Linked DNA regions of Coturnix japonica. The main gene of each other region encodes a partner of the protein of the gene in region 4 in a complex. Links are inferred from orthologs where the notes say so. Each region holds a gene or a part of one and is shown on either strand. Other genes may lie near its edges.

Region 1 (3,516 bases), on a different chromosome or scaffold from region 4:
CAAAAGCCAAACAAGCAAGTCTGGAATGAGGAACAAAGCATACACCATTCTCCACTCCTACGTGCTGGCCCACAGAAAAATCTGGAAAACTCTAAGGGAAGCTCTGGCCATTTTTGTTCCCCTCACTATTATTGCTTTCACTCACTTTCTCCTTTCCTATGTGGCACTTAGGTGCAGCTTGAACCTTAAAAAAGAAAAAAAATCTTTTCCCTTGGCAGATGCAATTAAAGCACAGCTTAAGAACTGCAATAAGTAACTGCAAGTTTCTAGAATGAATCACACCACAACCTTTTTTTTCCCCTTTCTTTAAAGCAAGCCTTCTGCAAGGCTCTGGAGCAGCATTAAACTTCACCTTGCCATAAAAATCAAGCTGGTCTGTTGTTTTTTAGTTTTTGTTTTTTTGGTGGTGCAGTTTTTTCCTCTCTAAAAGGCGTCAGGTCTCTCTATCTAAGTCAATGAAAGAACTTACAGTTCTTCCAGACACCGTCTGCAGCTGAACACAATACGTAGTCTCATATAAAAGAGATGAGATCTCTGCTGAAAGATAATCTACCTCGGGAGTGAAAACAGTGGACTGAGTCTTATGCTTTCTTTTCTTATCTGGCTGCCATTTTAAGATCTTGCTTACCTGACTGACCCATACTCAGGGGGATGCTGATACCTCATCATAGGCCCATCGGATCTTCCCTGCTGGCTCACACGATGATCGCTATAGAAATGCCCCGAGTCCTGAGGTTTGCAGTTCATAGATGGGGTGGACACATTTTTGTAAGGATACTCCGGAGGAGGACCCCGCTGTTCCATCCCTTTCATGCTGGGCTGGGAAGGGGGCTGCACTGAGTTCTTGTAGAACTCACTGGAGCCAGAATTTTTATAAGGGTCGCTCGACTGCTGAGGAGAGAGAGGAGACAGAGGGGAGAGTGGAGCGCTTGTGACAGGCGCGTGCGCCTTGACACCGCTGGTGGCCAAGGACAGCTGCATCAGCCTCTCACTCAGGGAGCGGACGTGTCCTTGCTTGAGGTCCTTAAGTCCTTCATCCTGGTGGACCTTCCCTGGGCTCACCCGCTGAACCGTGGGCCGCCCTTCAGTCCTCATTTTTTGATTGGTCACCCCCGTTACATAAAACGCTGCCCCGACACTAGCATGCGGCTGGCCCCTGAAATACTGCGACTGCACTTTGGCTTCCTCATAGGTTGGGAGATCCTCACTGTTCTGGAGTCGCGGAGAGAGCTGCTTCTCCATGATGCTGTTGTCCACCTGTATTTCCTGGCCCTGGGGCTCCTGGCGGGCAGCATGAGTCACAAGCTGGTGGTCCTGGGAGCTCAGCCCTTCGTTCTGAGATGCTGGACTCCCAGTGCTGTTGAAAGGGGGGGCATTTCCTGTGGCTTGCTGGTGTAAGGCAAGAAGGTTACGGTTGTCATTTGGGTTTCCGTATCTGAGCTGCTCCTGCAGCAGGCGTTGTAAAACTGTCGTAGCTGCTTGCTCTTCTGAATTCCTCATCTCAAACTGTGGTGCCTTTTGGGTGGAATGTAAAAGCTGCCCTTGACCTAAGGAAAGGAGACACGGTTATTAGCGCCTGAGTAGATCAAGCAGAAGACATTTAAGACCAATAGCTTAAAATACAGAAGAAAAAGGCAGGTTAGATTACCAAAGGTTCCCATAACAATAAGGGTCATTAAGGCCCTTAGACCTAAGAACTTGAATGCTAGGGGGCAAAGACTCAAAGGTGATGAAAGGTGACTTGCAAGTTTATAGGAATATCAATCGACTGCAAGCTGCAGAGATACAGGCTGAATACCTCAGACAGCAAGGCTGCTTTCAGGAGAAAGGAGACCCATAATTCATAGCATGACGGTAAAAATGCCTGAGCCCTGTTTGTTTTGTACTTACAGCTACCAACAGTGAAATAAGTTTCCCATGTTTGCAGGCAGGCAAAGATAAAAGGGTGAAATCAGCAAATTGTCAGCTTTAAGGAAGGGGAAAAAAGAAGTTCTGTTGAGACTGCATATGGTTCACAGGAAGCAGATGCATCTCTTAGTTTAGATCAGTTAAAGCAAGTAATGAATACCTGGATAGCCAGCAGACTTTTAGAGTTAATAAATATGCAGAATGAGATCAGTACCTAGTCTCCCTACTACAGAAAACAGTACATAATGGGGCAAGTGAGGACTCTGTAACTTCCTGCTATACAAAGGTAACCAAATCCTAACACATCTAAATATCATCAGCTGAACACATGCAAATGCAAGAGGAAAATAGTTGTCTGATCTAAGGCACAGAAAAAGATCTACAAGTGACAGGAAAAAGCACTGTGAACCAATGAGAGAAATTCAAAGAGCAAACTCAATGCGCAAATTCAACAGGCAGTAACCAACAGCAGTTAGCCCTCACTCAATCTCCCAGTAGAGTCAGGAATTTGTCAAGGAAACGCATAGCCATTGGCCTTGCATAAGCTGAAATATCCAAAATGAGTAACATCTCTGAGGCATTTAACTAAAAGCAGAGCTACCTCTTAGCCAGAACAGTTCAGAACAGAGCCTGCTTTACAAACACACATTGGTGTTCTGGCACTACCTTCTGGCACCTTTTTTTCTGTACATTGTCCCTTAGGTAGTGGCAATTTGCACACACTAGCTCGTTCTGTGGCAAACCCAGGGATGAGCTGCAGGAGTCAGGAGACCTGGAGGTCTGCTTCACTCCAGGCCTCCACAACCAGCCAGTTTCCTCCCTCAGGACTGCCTACCACAGGAGTCTAACACTGGAATACAAGGCCTCAGTGGGTCAGGCAGACAGAACCCTTCCGCAAACTTTAATGAAGGGAAAGTTAAAATCCACCTCCGCCCAGGCTGCCTTATCAAACTACAAATTTGGGTTCTATTGAACGGCCAGAGAAGTGGTTCTTCTGAAATCCTGTTTGAAGTGGCACATACCTACGTCCTTCACTTTGACTTCCTTGGTAAGGAGGAGCGGTTCTGGCACATGGGGGGATACAGCCTTCCTCCCGCACGTCCAAAATTTCCACTCAGAGATGGCTTCAGTCTCCTCTTCAGTGGAACAGATCACTTGATACTCTCCTCGCTTCCAAAATAATTCTGAGGAAAGCATTGAAAACATCATTTTAATCGGCAGATGAGATCCTAGAAATAACAAACCTTGGCCCATATTTACTATTTTTCTTTGTAGTTTCTTGTTTTCTCCCAGAGCCCGGCAATTCTGATCCCTTTAGGATGAATGAGCCCCCACGTCCCTAACAATCTACTCCAGCTGCTGCTTTAATCACGACAATTTCTGCTCCAAGATTAAATGTTGCCAAGTAATGCTCTGTTCCATCTGCGCCTCCAAGTGAAACAGTGATTAAAACCCTCTAATTCTTTAACTCCATTGTTTTATTTTTTTGCTAAGAATGAAAGCTGCAGCACAGATGACGATACTCTGCACTTTCAGCTCCTTTTTCAGTGGTACTGTATATTGCAAATTAGAGCAGAAATCCTTTAACGAAAGCTGCTGTGCTTACGT
Region 2 (3,516 bases), on a different chromosome or scaffold from region 4:
AAGAGGATCTTTATTCAAGTATTTCTAAATGAAAAAGTTACTTTTTGAACATATAAGTACTTTTAAATGTTAAAAAAAAAAAAAGCAGCAGGTTTTGGAAGCCTGGCTAAACAGCCTTTTGAAAAGCATCTTCTCATCCCAGCTCATGTGTGTATCTAACAAAAATAGCAGCTTTTCCCAAATACACACAATAATGTCTCCTCTGACATTTCAGCATACCTCACAAGTGACATTCTAGATTCTATTCTAATTTCTCTAGAATAAAGCTCACAGAAAAAAGGCTGCACTACAGAACAGAAACCAGCAACAGTTTATTATGGGCTAATCTAAACTGAGAAAAAAATCCAAAGTTACCTTCTTTCATATGAAGTTATAAGCAGGACTATTAGACAACAACAACATCGACACACTGTGCTGAATACACGGCAGATCCTGCTTGAACTGTGCAGCACTGTTTCTTCCTACCCGCGCGTGTCCTTACCCGGTGGGATCTTGCAGACCGTTGCTGGGTGCCAGCCATAGCGCTGGTTGCAGTTGGGAGACTGGACGAAAATGGCGCTGTCACTAAGGCACTCAGCAAACACCTCCCCGCCGATGTAGTACAGCCTCACTCCTCTTCCTGAGAAACACAGAGCACAGGTCAGGGTTAGTTCAGAACGGCCACCTGCAAAACCTGGAAGGTGAGTGGGAAGAGGCACAGCCTCCACACCTGACAGCTCAGAAAGCAGCTGAACCATGAATGATGGCAATGAAAACCAGCTCAGACCTGGGCTCCAGCCAGACTGGGCTGCACAGTCTCACCACCTCCCAAACAGCAACGACCACGATACCTTCTATACGAATGTACCACTGGTTAACATAGAGTTTTCAACCTTTTCTGAATCACCACAGCTGCATACAACTGCTTGTTTATTTACTTCATTACTGATTTGGGATTAAAACATCCAGTGTTTCCAAACAGCTGCCTTTTCCTTTAGACTGTATTTGTACACAAGGACAGACACACCCTTCTTATAAGAGTTTGCACATATTATTAAAACCTCAGTTAATAAATCCAGGAATTCATTTCTGTCACACAAATAAATATTAGCTGTGGTGTTACATGGCTATTTCAAAGCCCTGCTTTCTTTCTTCCATGCTGCACAAGGAACCTGCTGAATTAAGGACTGGTTTCTGAATCCTGGCTCGTGTTTGCTGTGTGAGTGTGTTGCTGTTCTCTTTGTATTTATTTTTCAGTGCTACAAATCAGTTTACAAGGAAGGAAAGATCCTCCTGTAAGAACCTTTACTGTCCAGAAAAAGATATATAGGGGAATATAAGGAATACATAAGATGATCTATAATGTCCACCCAAATGAAGTTCTTTAGACTGTGTGCAAGAATACAAACTCCATCTCTGTTAAACGCAGTTACTGGAGTGTTTCTCAGTGCCTCTTTAATTGTATTTTTATAAAAGAATACAATTAGTGTTCCTTTATGGTGGATTAACCCAAATCACCATGGATACTGCAATCCTATGGCGTCCTAAAATGGACAGAGCTGCATGCCATTAGGTAACTAAAAGGCTCTAAGGGCAGATCCCACCTTCCGCCCTGAAAAACACCAAGGAAAATAAGGAGACAGAAGTTACCGATGTGCCGCCTGGTGAGCTCCACTGCTGCGTTTCTGTTCACATTAGAGAGCAGACCAAGGCAGAAGCGTTCAGAATTCGACGGGTCAGTGAAACCATCCACAGTCATGGAGGGCTGCGAGGCGTGGAACGTCTCCCCCACGCGCTGGTTGAGTTCATAGTAGGATATGGAGCACCAGAACGCCGGCTCACAGTAGGTAACGGGCTGCAGATCTGCACACAAATAAGAAGCAAAATGAGTCACAGGCCCTTAGGAAAAGGGGGGATGAGGAAAGCGCCTGTTCTGAAATATTGTTCTGCTTCATTCCTCGGGCTCAATGCAACCACCGAGCTTTAATTACTTGACAGATTTCAATGGAGTGCAGCGAGGAAGTTACATCACCCCTGATTCTTTTGGCACGTGGAACAATCAAAATAGTCAAAGATATAAGTCATGGAGTAAGTGGGGTGTCACTCCACTATCTTGGAGAAAATCCTCAAAGTGAAGTTAGCTTTTCTATGAAGCACGGGACCACTTGTAGGTAGGCAGTACCCTAATAACAGGAGAGGAGAGAAGAAGAAGAAAAGCTTAGGAAGGGCAGAGCACAAACCTGCCTGCAGTGATGCTGTGCAAAGCAGCCGGCAAGCCCCACTTCTCTGACTGCAAGGATCTCTGCAGCTATTTTAACACTGACACACTGTACATAACTGCCTTCACAATAATCAAAAGATTATTTCTTCCAGTCCAAGTGATTTCACATTTTCAAAAGAAAAGCCATTTCCCCCATAGGTGGTAACGTTTCTTTTACTGGGGTTACAGACTGAGGCAGCCAAGTGAAAGGTGGGGCATTCAGATGGCTCTGGGTGATTCAACTGCTCCCCCTGAATCCAAGGAGTGATGCTTGCAGTTTCAGCAGAGGAAGGCTCTGCACTCTCTATGATGTGCTCTAAGAACAGTTCTAACCCCAGCTGTGGTTGGGGTGTTTGTTAAACTCTGTTCATCAGAAGTTACTGATTTATGTTATCTAACTGCACTAATTGCAGTTACTCCTAACTCCCTCAGAAGCAACAAGATAAATAAGTGTGCTCACTTCCTTTCCCTCTGCGCTGCTTAGAAAAATAGTGTTTCAACACGGAGTCACAGAGGCTTATGTTTCTGATGGATTTGCCCACGGGGCATGTGCTTATTTCACTTACTGCTTTTGCGTCAAGTCATTTGCAGAGCAAGCACTGACAATGGATTTCCTGTGCACCAAGGGACTGCCTTGCTCCCAAATAACATGCATGCAACCTCAGGCCTGGCCCTCAGCCAGGATAAACTCCCTGACTTCATTCCGAGTGTCCACACAGCGCTGGCAGCTCTGCTTTCACTGGGGCTTTCTGTATTCTTCCCAGTTCAAACTTCATCGATACAGAAGAGATCACCGGGTACCTACAACTTCCAGTTACATCTTATGTTTGACAATTGAAGGGTCCAAATCAAAACCAGAATGTTTGCAAAGCCACTGCACAAGCAGAAAGGAGACAAAAGGTCCCAAATCGTTACCGTGCAACACCTTGTTTTGTCCGTGGATGAAAAGATGAACTGAAAGTCCCCAGGTTCCATCAATTACAGCTTGGTATCAAAATACACACAATTGCAGCTCAAACCAACCTTGCTCCTATTGTTCTAGCCAGCTTGCCTCATGCTAGTTTATGGTCTTTGTAATTCTTTGGAATATGGCCATGGGATGAAGTCCAAAGTTCAGCTGACACAAAGTAAACTGTCTTAAAAGCTTCAGGCAGTTCTGTTCAAATAAACCGTCAGTTGTAACACTGGGACATTACTTCCTTAGCAGTAAAACTTCAAAAAAATACACGTTATATTCTTTAGATTTTACATTTTATTTTCTTAGCAAACAGAGAGAG
Region 3 (4,251 bases), about 430 kb from region 4:
TCTCTATCTCCCACGTCCCCACTTCCATACCATCCCATCTGCAACCCCATCCCCATTCATGACCCCAACCTGATTCCCTACCCTATTCCTATAACCCATCTCCACCTCCATCTGCAACCCCATCCCTATCCCTGACCCCAGCCCCACATCACTACCTCCATTCCCATTCCCAGACCATACCTCAGCCCCATCCCCATATCCCTACCTCCAACCCCACACTCCAGCCCCAGGCCATAACCCACCCCCATCCCCATATCACTACCTCCATCCCTGTCCCCAGGCCACAGCCCAGCTCCAGGCCATAGCTCATTCCTGACCCCATCCCCATACCAGTACCATCTTCATCCCCAGGCCATACCCCAGCCCCAGTCCCAGGACCCCATCATACCCCAGCCCCATCATTCCCATTATATTCCTATCCCTAGGACATACTCAACCCCTAGGACATATCCAGCTCCAGCCCTGTATCACTACCTCCATCATCCTTATCCCTAACACATACCCAAGCCCTAAGACATATCCCACTTCCAGCCCTATACCACTGCTTCCATCCCCAACCCCAGGACACATGCCATCCCCACCAGGACCTCCAGTCCCACCCTTATTACCTCCATCTCCATCCCACTATACCCCATCCCCATCCCAAGGACATACTCCATGCCCACCTCTCCAGTCCAATCCCCATCATTACCTCCATCTCCATCCACATTTCACTACCTCTGTTCCCACCCCATTATACCCCATCCCTAGGACATACTCCAACTCCACCACTACCTCCAGTCCCATCCCCATTTCACTACCTCCATTCCCACCCCATTATGTGCTGTCCCTATTACATACTCCAGCCCCAGCCCCATATCACTAATATCACTATTCTCCAGCCCAATCTCAATACCATCCTTAGGACATACTCCATCCCCATTACTACCTCCATTCCCACCTCAATAAACCCCAACCCTAGGACATATCCCATCCTTAGGACACACTTCAGCCTCATCCCAATTTAATGCCATCTCTAGGACATACTCCAGCCCCAGCCCCATATCACTATCACCATCCCCATTTCACTACCTCTATTTTCACCCCATTAAACCCCATCCATAGGACACACTCCATTCCCAGCCCCATGTCATCATCTCCAGCCCCATCCCAATTTAATTCAAACCCCAGGACACACTCCATCCCCACCACCACCTCCATCCCCACATCCCTACCAACTCCACCCCTAGGACATACCCCATCTGTCAACTCCCAGTGCACACTACACGAGTTGGGATGTGGGATACCCAGAATCACAAAGCCACGACACCCATCCCTCGGACAGAATCACCCCCAGCCCCCGGCCCAATTCACCGCCACCCCCACCCAACACCACGACCACCTTCCACCCCCACATCAGAGCCGCCCCCATCCTCACCCCGTCCCCACATCCCCCCGCCCATCGCCCCTTACCGAGCTCGCAGAGGCGGCTGAGGTGGTGCGGGTTGCAGCACACGAGCTCGGTGGGCGCCGCGCCGTCGGCCTGGCAGCAGCCTCGGAGCCGCTTGAGGGGCGCCCCGTGCCGCAGCTCGGGCCAGCGGAACACCCGGCACAGCAGCGCGGGCAGCGCGTCCCGCTGCGCTCCCAGCCGCGCCTCCCCTCGAGCCGGCAGCAGCACGCAGGGGGTGCGGGCCGCCCCGCGGGACTCGACGGCGCGCAGCAGCCCCTCCAGCTGCCGCTCCTTGCAGCGCTTCAGCACGGCGTGGGTCAGCGCCTTCAGCTCGCCCTCCGCCGCCCCCCGGCCGCCCCCGCGGGGGGGTTTGGCCGGGCAGCACCCCCGGTTCCCCCCGCCGCATGAGTGCGGCCGAGGTTCGGCCGGCGCTGCGCCGTCTCCCGTCTCCTCCTCTCCGCCGCCGGGTGCGCGGCTCCGCCAGAGCCGTCGGACGAGGAGCGAGCGTTTGGTCCTGAACATGCGGGACGTGAGGAGGGGCCCCCGGCTACGGCACGGGCATGGCGTGCGCCGAGCATGAAGGGGCCGGCAGCCGGGGCGAGGCGGGGGGCAGCGGCGAGCGGGGGGGGGGCCCGGCCGGGGTGGTGCATGCGCCAGGCTCCGCGCTTTGATGGCCGGGGGGGTGCGCAGCGTGAGGGGCACTCGTGCTGCGCGAGGTAAAAGGGAAAAAAAGCGGGGGAGAAAGAGCTCGGAGGGAAGGCGGTGCTCGGCTTTAAAAATACGAAAAGATAAAAGTGGGAAAAAACGCAAAAAAGTGACAAATCAGCGCAGTTTCACGGCGCTTTGCTTGGAGGTGGGCAGCGCGAGGGGTGACCGCGCCGCGAGGTGAAGGGGAGCAAAAAGCGGGTAAGCAAAGGGAGAGTTCGGGGGTGCCGTTCCCCTTTAGTAAGTGAAGGAGAGAAAAAGGAGAGGGGAAAAAAAAAAAAAAGGAAAACAAAAAAGAAAATGGTAGAAAAAGGAGCAGTTTCACTCCGCTTTGCTTGGCTGGGGAGAGAGGAGTGAGCAGCACTCAAGGGTTGCCCACGCTGCGAGAGGTGAAAAGCAAAAAAAGTCGGGGGGGGGGAAGAGAAAAACCCGGGGGTGCCGCTCTCCTTTAGGAAAAGGAGAGAAAAAGGATTAAAAGGGAAAATGGGAGAAATCGGCGCGGTTTCAGAGCGCGGCTCCGCGGCGCATCGCGCGGGGGGGGGCGGCCCAGCGCGGGTGCGGAGAGAGCACAGAGCCGGGGGGAGCCGTGGGGCTGCCGGGGGCCGCAGCTCCCATCAACGCACCGCGACGAGAGGGGGAGAGGGGCGGAAAAAATGGAGAAGGGCGAGGCAAAGGGACGGGGCGGGGGGGGGGGGGGGTGGGAGAAGAAGGGAGGGGGGGGGGGAAAGAGGTTAAAAAATAAAAAAATAATAATAATTAAAAAAAAAAACTTTAAAAAAATAAAAATGTAAAATAAGTCTAAAAAAGGAGCCCGGCGGCCCTACGTGCGGAGCGGCCTCGGCGCGTTCGTCCGCGGAGCGAGCAGCATCGCGCGTCCCCGCTCCGCTCCGCTCTGCCAAGGAGAGAAACGGGGCGAATGAAGCGCGGAATGTAAGCGCGGCCGCGGCTCCCCGCCCCCACCCTCCCCGCAGCCTCTCGGGCTTTTCTCGGTGATTCTTCTCCCTCCTCCTCCTCTTTTTGCCCCTATTTTCCCCTGCTCTCCCCGCTCACACACCCGCACCGCCGCGGCTCCGTCGTTCCCTTTTGCCTTTTTTTTTTTCCCCTAATTATTTTTGCGCGGGGGGAGGTGTGTATGTGTGTGTAGGGAGGAGGGGGGAGAAGCGACGGTGCGTGCGCGTTGTGGCCGCGCCCCCCTTTTCTTCTTCTTTTTTTTCCCTATTGCCTCCCTTCCCCCCCACCCCCCTTTCCCCCCCGCCCGCTCCGTTTGCGCGCAGCCCCATCACGTGGGCGTCTAGACAGCGCGTCGCTCCGGGAGGGGAAAAAAAAGGAATTATATATTTATCTCCATCCGCCCGCACTGATCCGACGGCGCTTTGCGCAACGCGGGGTGCCCGGCGGGGGGGGGGGAATGGGATGGTCCTGCTGCCTGCAGGGAGAGGGGGGTCCCCAGGGGTGACCCCCGGCAATGAGCCCTAAGGGATGGGGACCCCCCCCATAAGTGTGGGGCAGCTCCTGCATAGGGGCGTGTTACTGCAGGGCTGCCATGCGCTGTGTGCTGTGTGTGCGGTGCTGCATGCATGCAGCGTGCTGCCTGCTGGGTGTTGCATGCAGCGCTGGTACATGCTACATGCTGTGTGTCATGCTGTGTGCTACCTAGTGTGTTATGTGCCAGGTGTTACATGCTATAGGGCATGTTACATGTTACAGTGCTATATGATACTACATGGTATATGGCATGTTACATGTTGCAGTGCTATATAATACTACATGGCATATGGCATGTTACATGTTGCAGTGCTAGATGGTATCACATGCTACATGCTGTTACATGTCACCATGCTGTATGGCGTTACATGTTACACGCTGTATGTTATGTTAATGTTACATGTTACATATTTAAAATTACATATGACAGTGCTGTAAGATGTTACTTGCTATGTGTTAAATGTTATGTGCTCCCTGATGTTATGTTACCTGCTGTATGTCACATGCTGCATATTACATGTTACATGCTGTATGTTACATGTTACATGCTGCATGTTACATGTTACATGATTTATGTTACATGTCACATGCTGTATGTTACATGCTGTATGTTACATGTCACATGCTGTATG
Region 4 (3,516 bases):
TGTGATCCTTGAGGTCCCCTCCAATTGGGGCCATTCTGTGATGAAGCACTAGCACAGGCTGCCCAGAGATGTGGTGAATTTCCCATATTTGGTGACATACAAGGTCAGGCTGGACAGGGCTCAGAGCAACCTGATCTAGCTATATGAGTCCCTCTTCATTGCAGGGCAGTTGGACTAGATGACCTTTAAAGGTTCCTTCCAACTCAAACGATTCTATGATTCCATGAACAGAACTTTGTTTCTCTTCCAAGCGCCCCCCAGTTTCTACAGTGCTGTTGGCATCCAGTGGGAGAAGCTCTATCTGGGAATAAATGTTGGCCATGCCTGTACTTCAGTGGTGTTTGTGCTCGCCACCTGCAGTGTGTGTTCTGTGGGCAGAGGGCAGGAAGCTCACCGTAAAGTTCAGCAAATCCGTTCATAGGCACTCGCGATGTGCCAGTAACAAACTGCAGTAAGCGAATGCGTTTTTCTGCATCCATCAGTAAAACAGCCTGTTGAGAAGCAGACAGGGTGACTTTTCATGGCTAAAGATATCTTTGTTAAAATAAGCAAAACAGAATTTATTTGTATTACGTGGTAAGAAATGGATATCTAACTTTGAAGGATGGCCTGCCACATTTTCTCTGGTTAAACAATTCCCTTCTAACAAAGAAAGTGACAATGTCTGGGCAACAGCCAGGAGCTACAACTGCCATTCATCTGTATGAGGTGACTCACTCACAAGACTTCTGGGCTAGTACAGGGAAAACTGTTCTCCTAGTTCTCCTGCAAACATACACTTTTCATAGAAGTAATGCACTTCAGAAAGATTGCAAACCACTTCAATAAAACTGGAGAGACTTTGTCAGTCTGGGTCATTCCGATACAGACTCCAGTAATGGAACTGCCATTTCCAGAATATACCAAAGTATTTTTCCGTAGTTTTTGAGAAGAAAAATGATTCAATAACTGACTTCACTGCACACTAAAGGATCTTTGACTTCTAGGAATCGTCAGAGAAACCAAACATGATAAGGGTGTTACCTTCCAGAACCACTGGATGACGGGATGATTTGGGCAGTAGCCATTTTTGTAGATCGTGTGCTGTCTCCAGTCATTAACATCGACATCACCAAGGCCACACATCAGTAACTAGATATGGAAACAATGATGTTAATCAAAGATAGTACCAGTATCACCCTGAAGGCTTCATCAGATAAACCACCTCTCCCTCTGTTGCCTGGTCTCTCAAACAGTTAATGCTGTACAAATACAAATACAGACATAAAGTGGCACTGAGCTTCTCTTCAGGACAATTCTCAAGGATAACCCCACTTTACTGGAGAAACACTATGCAATATGAAGTATGTATGCTTCATGTGATGGCATCTTTTACAGCACATTTGCTGAAAACATGGCCAGTATATGTCATTAACTCAGCAAACTACTTGCATTCTTTATGTATGCATGTACTAAACCACCTCAGTGAGTAACTGATACTTTTTGTACTTTTACTTGATTGAGAGATTTATTATTCTGGGCAAAAAAAATCCTCATTTCCCACTAAAACAAAGAACCTTTTTCTCCAAACTCCATGATGACCTAATGAATTGAGAACATAATGCATCTCTGCAATGGGCATTACCAATCTGTCATCTCTCGACATCAAGCAAACTCACCTCTAGTTCATTTTCATCAAAAATTTTAATCAGATCGATAGGAAGAAGCTCTGTGAATCCCTAGGAGAAAAAGTAAAATCAGTAAACTATGTGTAATTACGTGGTTTTTTTTTTCTTCTGATAGAACCTTTGCCTTCAGGGAAAGCTGTTAGCTAAGTGATGGAGGGCAAAGAAGGGTTTGGAAAATGAAATATACAGTTCCTGAAGTATTGAGTCTCTAATTTAAAAACTGCTATTTCGAGCTCAAATAATGTCAACTTGAATGAGAATGATCTTATGAGTAACAGAACCTGTGTGGTCATGCACAGCTTCCCACTCCCGTAACCAGGCACTGCTGTATGCCTACATAATTTGGGTAAAGAAAAGGACAAAAAGGAGAACCTTACCTCCAAAAAAGCATTCATTTGTTTTTGAACTCTGTTTACAAACCTCCACTGGATGACCAGGCTGTGGGAGATAACAAACATAAACACATTCATTAGAAGACTAATTTGCAACCCTAACAATATCAGCTTCTCATTTACAACTTTAGGAACCTCTCAGTCATATTCTTATGTTTGAGATACTGAGTTGCTTTTTATTAAATTATACAGCCTACAAATTCATTACTATGTTCTATTCTAAGCAAGATTGTAGTCTAGACCCCAGGTAATGTACTTACTGTTTGAAATAAGTATCTAAACGATGAGACTTTTCCTATTATTCTAGAGCTCTAAGCAGATTTGTAACTACAACTGCAGTTTCTCTCCTTTTCTCTTTTTCTCTTCTTTTTCTTTCCTTGTGCACCAACTAGAACTCCTTAATCATAACATAACTCTTGGGAAAAGCATTGGAAAAAATTAAACTGCATCAAATGTTTGGAAATGAGTACACAGTAATCCTCTTAAAGGAGTACTTAAACACGTGCAGAGTTCCTGAACCCTTCCTTGAATAAAAACTGAAGGGAAAGCAAATGTGACCTCAGCAACGTGACGTCCTATTTTCACTCTTTTCTCTTGTTAGTTTACTGTTCTGTTCTGCACTTATTCTTCATTTGCATTCCATGATAGCACTTCAGCAGGAAAAACTGCAGCCCAGGGTGGAAATTCACCACTTAGGAGACCTACAAAGCAGAGGCCGCCAGTGCACAAAGTGAGGCATGAAATTGGGCCAGATTCATATCCTGCTGTAACACTGTAGTTCTTGTACCCATGAAAGGCCATTTTTTTTCATCAGTTTTGGAGGGTGCTCAGAATGAGTAACTTAGACTGGTGTCTGCAGTCATTCAGGGCAATTCCATACCTCCTTGAATGCTCCTTATGCCAGCGCATCAATACTGTTTCCTACTACATGACATAGGCTGCCATAATTACAGTAGTTCATCGAACAGCAAAGGTTAAAATCCAAACTTTCTAGGAATGCAGTGTAAACAAACAAACCATGTTAACACAGGGATTTTCTTTTGAAAGGATGTCTGACAATCTCTGTGTTACAATAACTGCGGTGGGGTAAATTCCAAAGCATTACCACTGTGTGTTGTGAAGCTCAGGGTGAACTCTACAAATATATACGTACTCAATGTATTCCCTTTTGTTCTCATTTGTTACCATGATTTCTGACCCATTTGGCTTCAGGTCGACTTGATACGTCTGTATTTTAAAGAAAAAAATAGAATAAAACAGGGCATTATTTCAGGACACATTCCTCATGAAATCCACCACCCATGAGAGGTATTTTACAAGCAGTACTAGAAAAATATCACACATCAATAGCTAATGAGACATCAAAATATTTCATGTTTAAGGGTGACATAATTAGGGAGAAATTATTCTACGGTCACTCTTAAGAATAAATTATTTTCCAACTTCTATTGCAAAAC
Region 5 (2,750 bases), on a different chromosome or scaffold from region 4:
GCTGCTCTGTGCTGCGTTGTGTGAGGCAGGGGGAAGCGATACGGTGCATTAAGACTCTTATTGTCAATGAAGAAAATCCCATGTGGGAAGAACATGCTCTTGCCACGTGAGCTTTCAAATCCTTATCTCCGTAGATGCCTTAGGCAGCTGTAATTTTAACATCTAACGTATTCTTTTGGCATCTCAAAAGAATGTATAATGCTCATGGGAAATGGAAAAGCTGAACACGCCGTAGCTGAATTTTCCGTCTTGTTAATCCATTCAGCTAGCTTGTAACTCTAGAACATCACCACCCATCTCAGTGCTTCCTCTCATCAGCATCTTCCCTCAGGTGAAACGCACCCATTTCCTCTGGGATTTCTCTCATTCTAGAAAACACTGATATTTCTAAGATGGAGGATACCTTGAACAGATCCCAGGCTCTATGATAGTGAAGTCCAACCATCAACCCATGGCTCCAATGGGACTTAGATGGTCAGAGAGGCCTTTTCCAACCTTTATGATGCTGGGGTTTGGGCCGACTCCATTCTCCCACTCCTACCTGGAGCACTTCAATGCTGAGTTGTGATGGGAAACAGCGAGTGGCCCCGTGGTTAACCTGAGCCCCTTTTTCTCTCTTCCTCTCTTGGTACAGGTGACAGAACTGAATGAGCCTCTGTCCAATGAAGAGAGGAACCTCCTGTCCGTCGCCTACAAGAACGTTGTGGGGGCACGGCGCTCGTCCTGGCGAGTCATCAGCAGCATCGAGCAGAAGACCTCCGCTGATGGCAATGAGAAGAAGATCGAAATGGTTCGGGCCTACCGTGAGAAGATTGAGAAGGAGTTGGAAGCCGTGTGCCAGGACGTGCTGAGCCTGCTGGACAACTACCTGATCAAGAACTGCAGCGAGACGCAGTACGAGAGCAAAGTCTTCTACCTGAAGATGAAGGGAGACTATTACCGATACCTGGCTGAAGTGGCCACCGGGGAGAAGAGGGCGACCGTGGTGGAGTCTTCGGAGAAGGCCTACAGCGAGGCCCATGAGATCAGCAAGGAGCACATGCAGCCGACCCACCCCATCCGGCTCGGCCTGGCGCTCAACTACTCCGTTTTCTACTACGAGATCCAGAACGCTCCGGAGCAGGCCTGCCACCTGGCCAAGACGGCGTTCGACGACGCCATCGCCGAGCTGGACACCCTCAACGAGGACTCCTACAAGGACTCAACGCTCATCATGCAGCTCCTCCGTGACAACCTAACGCTCTGGACAAGCGATCAGCAAGACGACGACGGCGGAGAAGGCAACAATTAGACCCCCAGATGGACTGGCAGCCGCACGCTGATGCTAACTACTGCAGTCTTTATTTTTTTCCCACAAGTGGGGGGGGTCAGGGGTGGGGGAGGGAACGGGAGGGGACACCTTCCCTGGGAGGCCCCCACAACCTGTCTTTGATTGCCTCTTTGACATTTTTGCCAAAACACCACTAGTGGAAAGTCAGGCTGGCTGTGCTGGTTATGGAATAGCAGCCTCACTGGCATATGGACTGTTCTGTAGATTATTAATACAAGTGGAGCTGTCTTTAATTTAACTTTATTGCTAGAAATAAAAGGGTTTTAAGATGAATTAACATGGAACGGAATGGCCCTCGTTTTTAAGAAAAGCAACACAAAAGGAAGTTCTGTGGTTCCAGTAAGGCTTTGTGCGTTTGTTTCCTCAGTTCACGTGCCGTGTGTCCGTACCGGAGCTCTGCCTGTCAGGGCCTCACTTCAAATCCCCACATTGAAAAGGAATCATAATTATAATTAAGAAAAAGACCCAAGAGTTTGGGGCTCGTAAAGCCCTGGGATTTAGGCCATTTGATCTTTTTTTGTGCGTGTGTGAAAAGATATTAGGGTAGCTTACAGTATTAACACTAAATTGCAGTTTACAGTATTTCTACATTACAGCCATATGACATCAAGCCTTTGATTGTCTGTTTTCTTTTGCTGGTTCTTTTGGCTTGCCTTCCTGATCAGTCCTCGCCTGTGGACTGGCTTTTAGCTATTCTGTGTCTCCCAAGGCAAGAAGACTGCCTGCCCCAGGAACATCAAAGCTGCTCTAGTTTTCGGTCAACAGCTTAACAGGTGCTTGGCTAGCGGCTGTTTAAACTATTTTAGTCCACAGCAAAAGGTTTAAGAACTTAATTAGGAAAAGGGGGAAGTGTTTAAACTTAAAAATGCCACTGAAAAAAAAAAAGGAAAAAAAAAAAAAAAAAAAAGAAAAAAAAAAGATAATAAAATTAATAATAATAATAAAAAAGAGAATTCAGGTCTGTATGTCATGTACTGTGTTTGGTATTTCAAAGACCATCCTGATTTAAGGTGCCACAGCTGCTTCCTCAGGGATTGCACTGCCATTTCACTCTGCCTGACTTTCTCCCACTGTACCATGAGGTTTGTCAGCAGATCTCAGGCACCCGGGCTCCCTTGTCGGTCACCAGGGAAGCCAGGTGCGATTTCTTTCTCCTGGGGAAGCTTGTGGTGTAATGAGTGAACTTCAGGAGCTTAGAAACTAATTTGGTAGAGAAATCCTCAAGGGAAGAGCTACAATCATAGACATTTCTATCAAGCATCGGGAGCCCAGGAACTTAGTTCTCTTCTTAACAAAAACCTTTTCCAAATCTCTTATCCGGGCGGGGGGTGGGAGAGGGCCATCTGAGTTGCTTAGCAGGTGATATTTACCCCATTTTTTGAGTGGATTTTGTTACTTAACTGTTGGAAGTTCACTGCTG

What was found.
Region 1: the proteins of NEDD4L (region 4) and AMOT are in contact, whole or in part, in a crystal structure (PDB 7LP3), measured with the Homo sapiens proteins. The link is inferred for Coturnix japonica from reciprocal best matches to the Homo sapiens genes NEDD4L and AMOT. Residues at the interface, in NP_001138439.1 of Homo sapiens: Lys202, Asp204, Leu206, Arg208, Tyr210, Val212, Asn213, His214, Arg217, Thr218, Thr219, Gln220, Trp221; in NP_001106962.1 of Homo sapiens: His235, Arg236, Gly237, Pro238, Pro239, Pro240, Glu241, Tyr242, Pro243, Phe244, Met247.
Region 2: the proteins of NEDD4L (region 4) and SMAD3 are in contact, whole or in part, in an NMR structure (PDB 2LB2), measured with the Homo sapiens proteins. The link is inferred for Coturnix japonica from reciprocal best matches to the Homo sapiens genes NEDD4L and SMAD3. Residues at the interface, in NP_001138439.1 of Homo sapiens: Glu392, Glu393, Arg394, Lys398, Gly399, Arg400, Tyr402, Val404, Asn405, His406, Arg409, Thr410, Thr411, Trp413; in NP_005893.1 of Homo sapiens: Glu178, Thr179, Pro180, Pro181, Pro182, Gly183, Tyr184, Leu185, Ser186, Glu187, Asp188.
Region 3: the proteins of NEDD4L (region 4) and SMAD7 are in contact, whole or in part, in an NMR structure (PDB 2LTY), measured with the Homo sapiens proteins. The link is inferred for Coturnix japonica from reciprocal best matches to the Homo sapiens genes NEDD4L and SMAD7. Residues at the interface, in NP_001138439.1 of Homo sapiens: Arg394, Asp396, Lys398, Arg400, Tyr402, Val404, Asn405, His406, Arg409, Thr410, Thr411, Thr412, Trp413; in NP_005895.1 of Homo sapiens: Glu203, Glu205, Ser206, Pro207, Pro208, Pro209, Tyr211, Ser212, Arg213, Tyr214, Pro215, Asp217.
Region 5: the proteins of NEDD4L (region 4) and YWHAG are in contact, whole or in part, in a crystal structure (PDB 6ZC9), measured with the Homo sapiens proteins. The link is inferred for Coturnix japonica from reciprocal best matches to the Homo sapiens genes NEDD4L and YWHAG. Residues at the interface, in NP_001138439.1 of Homo sapiens: Pro444, Arg445, Ser446, Leu447, Ser448, Ser449, Pro450; in NP_036611.2 of Homo sapiens: Lys50, Arg57, Arg61, Lys125, Arg132, Tyr133, Gly174, Leu177, Asn178, Val181, Tyr184, Glu185, Leu225, Asn229, Leu232, Trp233.

What each region holds. Positions count from the first base shown.
Region 1 is NC_029519.1:12,266,905-12,270,420, reverse strand, and holds part of AMOT (angiomotin), read right to left. Parts: intron 3,093-3,516; coding exon 2,931-3,092; intron 1,548-2,930; coding exon 629-1,547; intron 1-628.
Region 2 is NC_029525.1:17,086,054-17,089,569, reverse strand, and holds part of SMAD3 (mothers against decapentaplegic homolog 3), read right to left. Parts: intron 1,843-3,516; coding exon 1,630-1,842; intron 620-1,629; coding exon 482-619; intron 1-481. UniProt on the Homo sapiens protein: Receptor-regulated SMAD (R-SMAD) that is an intracellular signal transducer and transcriptional modulator activated by TGF-beta (transforming growth factor) and activin type 1 receptor kinases.
Region 3 is NC_029547.1:1,082,937-1,087,187, reverse strand, and holds the start of SMAD7 (mothers against decapentaplegic homolog 7), read right to left. Parts: upstream 2,815-4,251; 5' UTR 1,952-2,814; coding exon 1,453-1,951; intron 1-1,452. UniProt on the Homo sapiens protein: Antagonist of signaling by TGF-beta (transforming growth factor) type 1 receptor superfamily members; has been shown to inhibit TGF-beta (Transforming growth factor) and activin signaling by associating with their receptors thus preventing SMAD2 access.
Region 4 is NC_029547.1:653,727-657,242, reverse strand, and holds part of NEDD4L (E3 ubiquitin-protein ligase NEDD4-like), read right to left. Parts: intron 3,287-3,516; coding exon 3,213-3,286; intron 2,106-3,212; coding exon 2,045-2,105; intron 1,719-2,044; coding exon 1,659-1,718; intron 1,132-1,658; coding exon 1,024-1,131; intron 492-1,023; coding exon 395-491; intron 1-394. UniProt on the Homo sapiens protein: E3 ubiquitin-protein ligase that mediates the polyubiquitination of lysine and cysteine residues on target proteins and is thereby implicated in the regulation of various signaling pathways including autophagy, innate immunity or DNA repair.
Region 5 is NC_029534.1:3,157,032-3,159,781, forward strand, and holds the end of YWHAG (14-3-3 protein gamma), read left to right. Parts: intron 1-634; coding exon 635-1,291; 3' UTR 1,292-2,237; downstream 2,238-2,750. UniProt on the Homo sapiens protein: Adapter protein implicated in the regulation of a large spectrum of both general and specialized signaling pathways. Binds to a large number of partners, usually by recognition of a phosphoserine or phosphothreonine motif.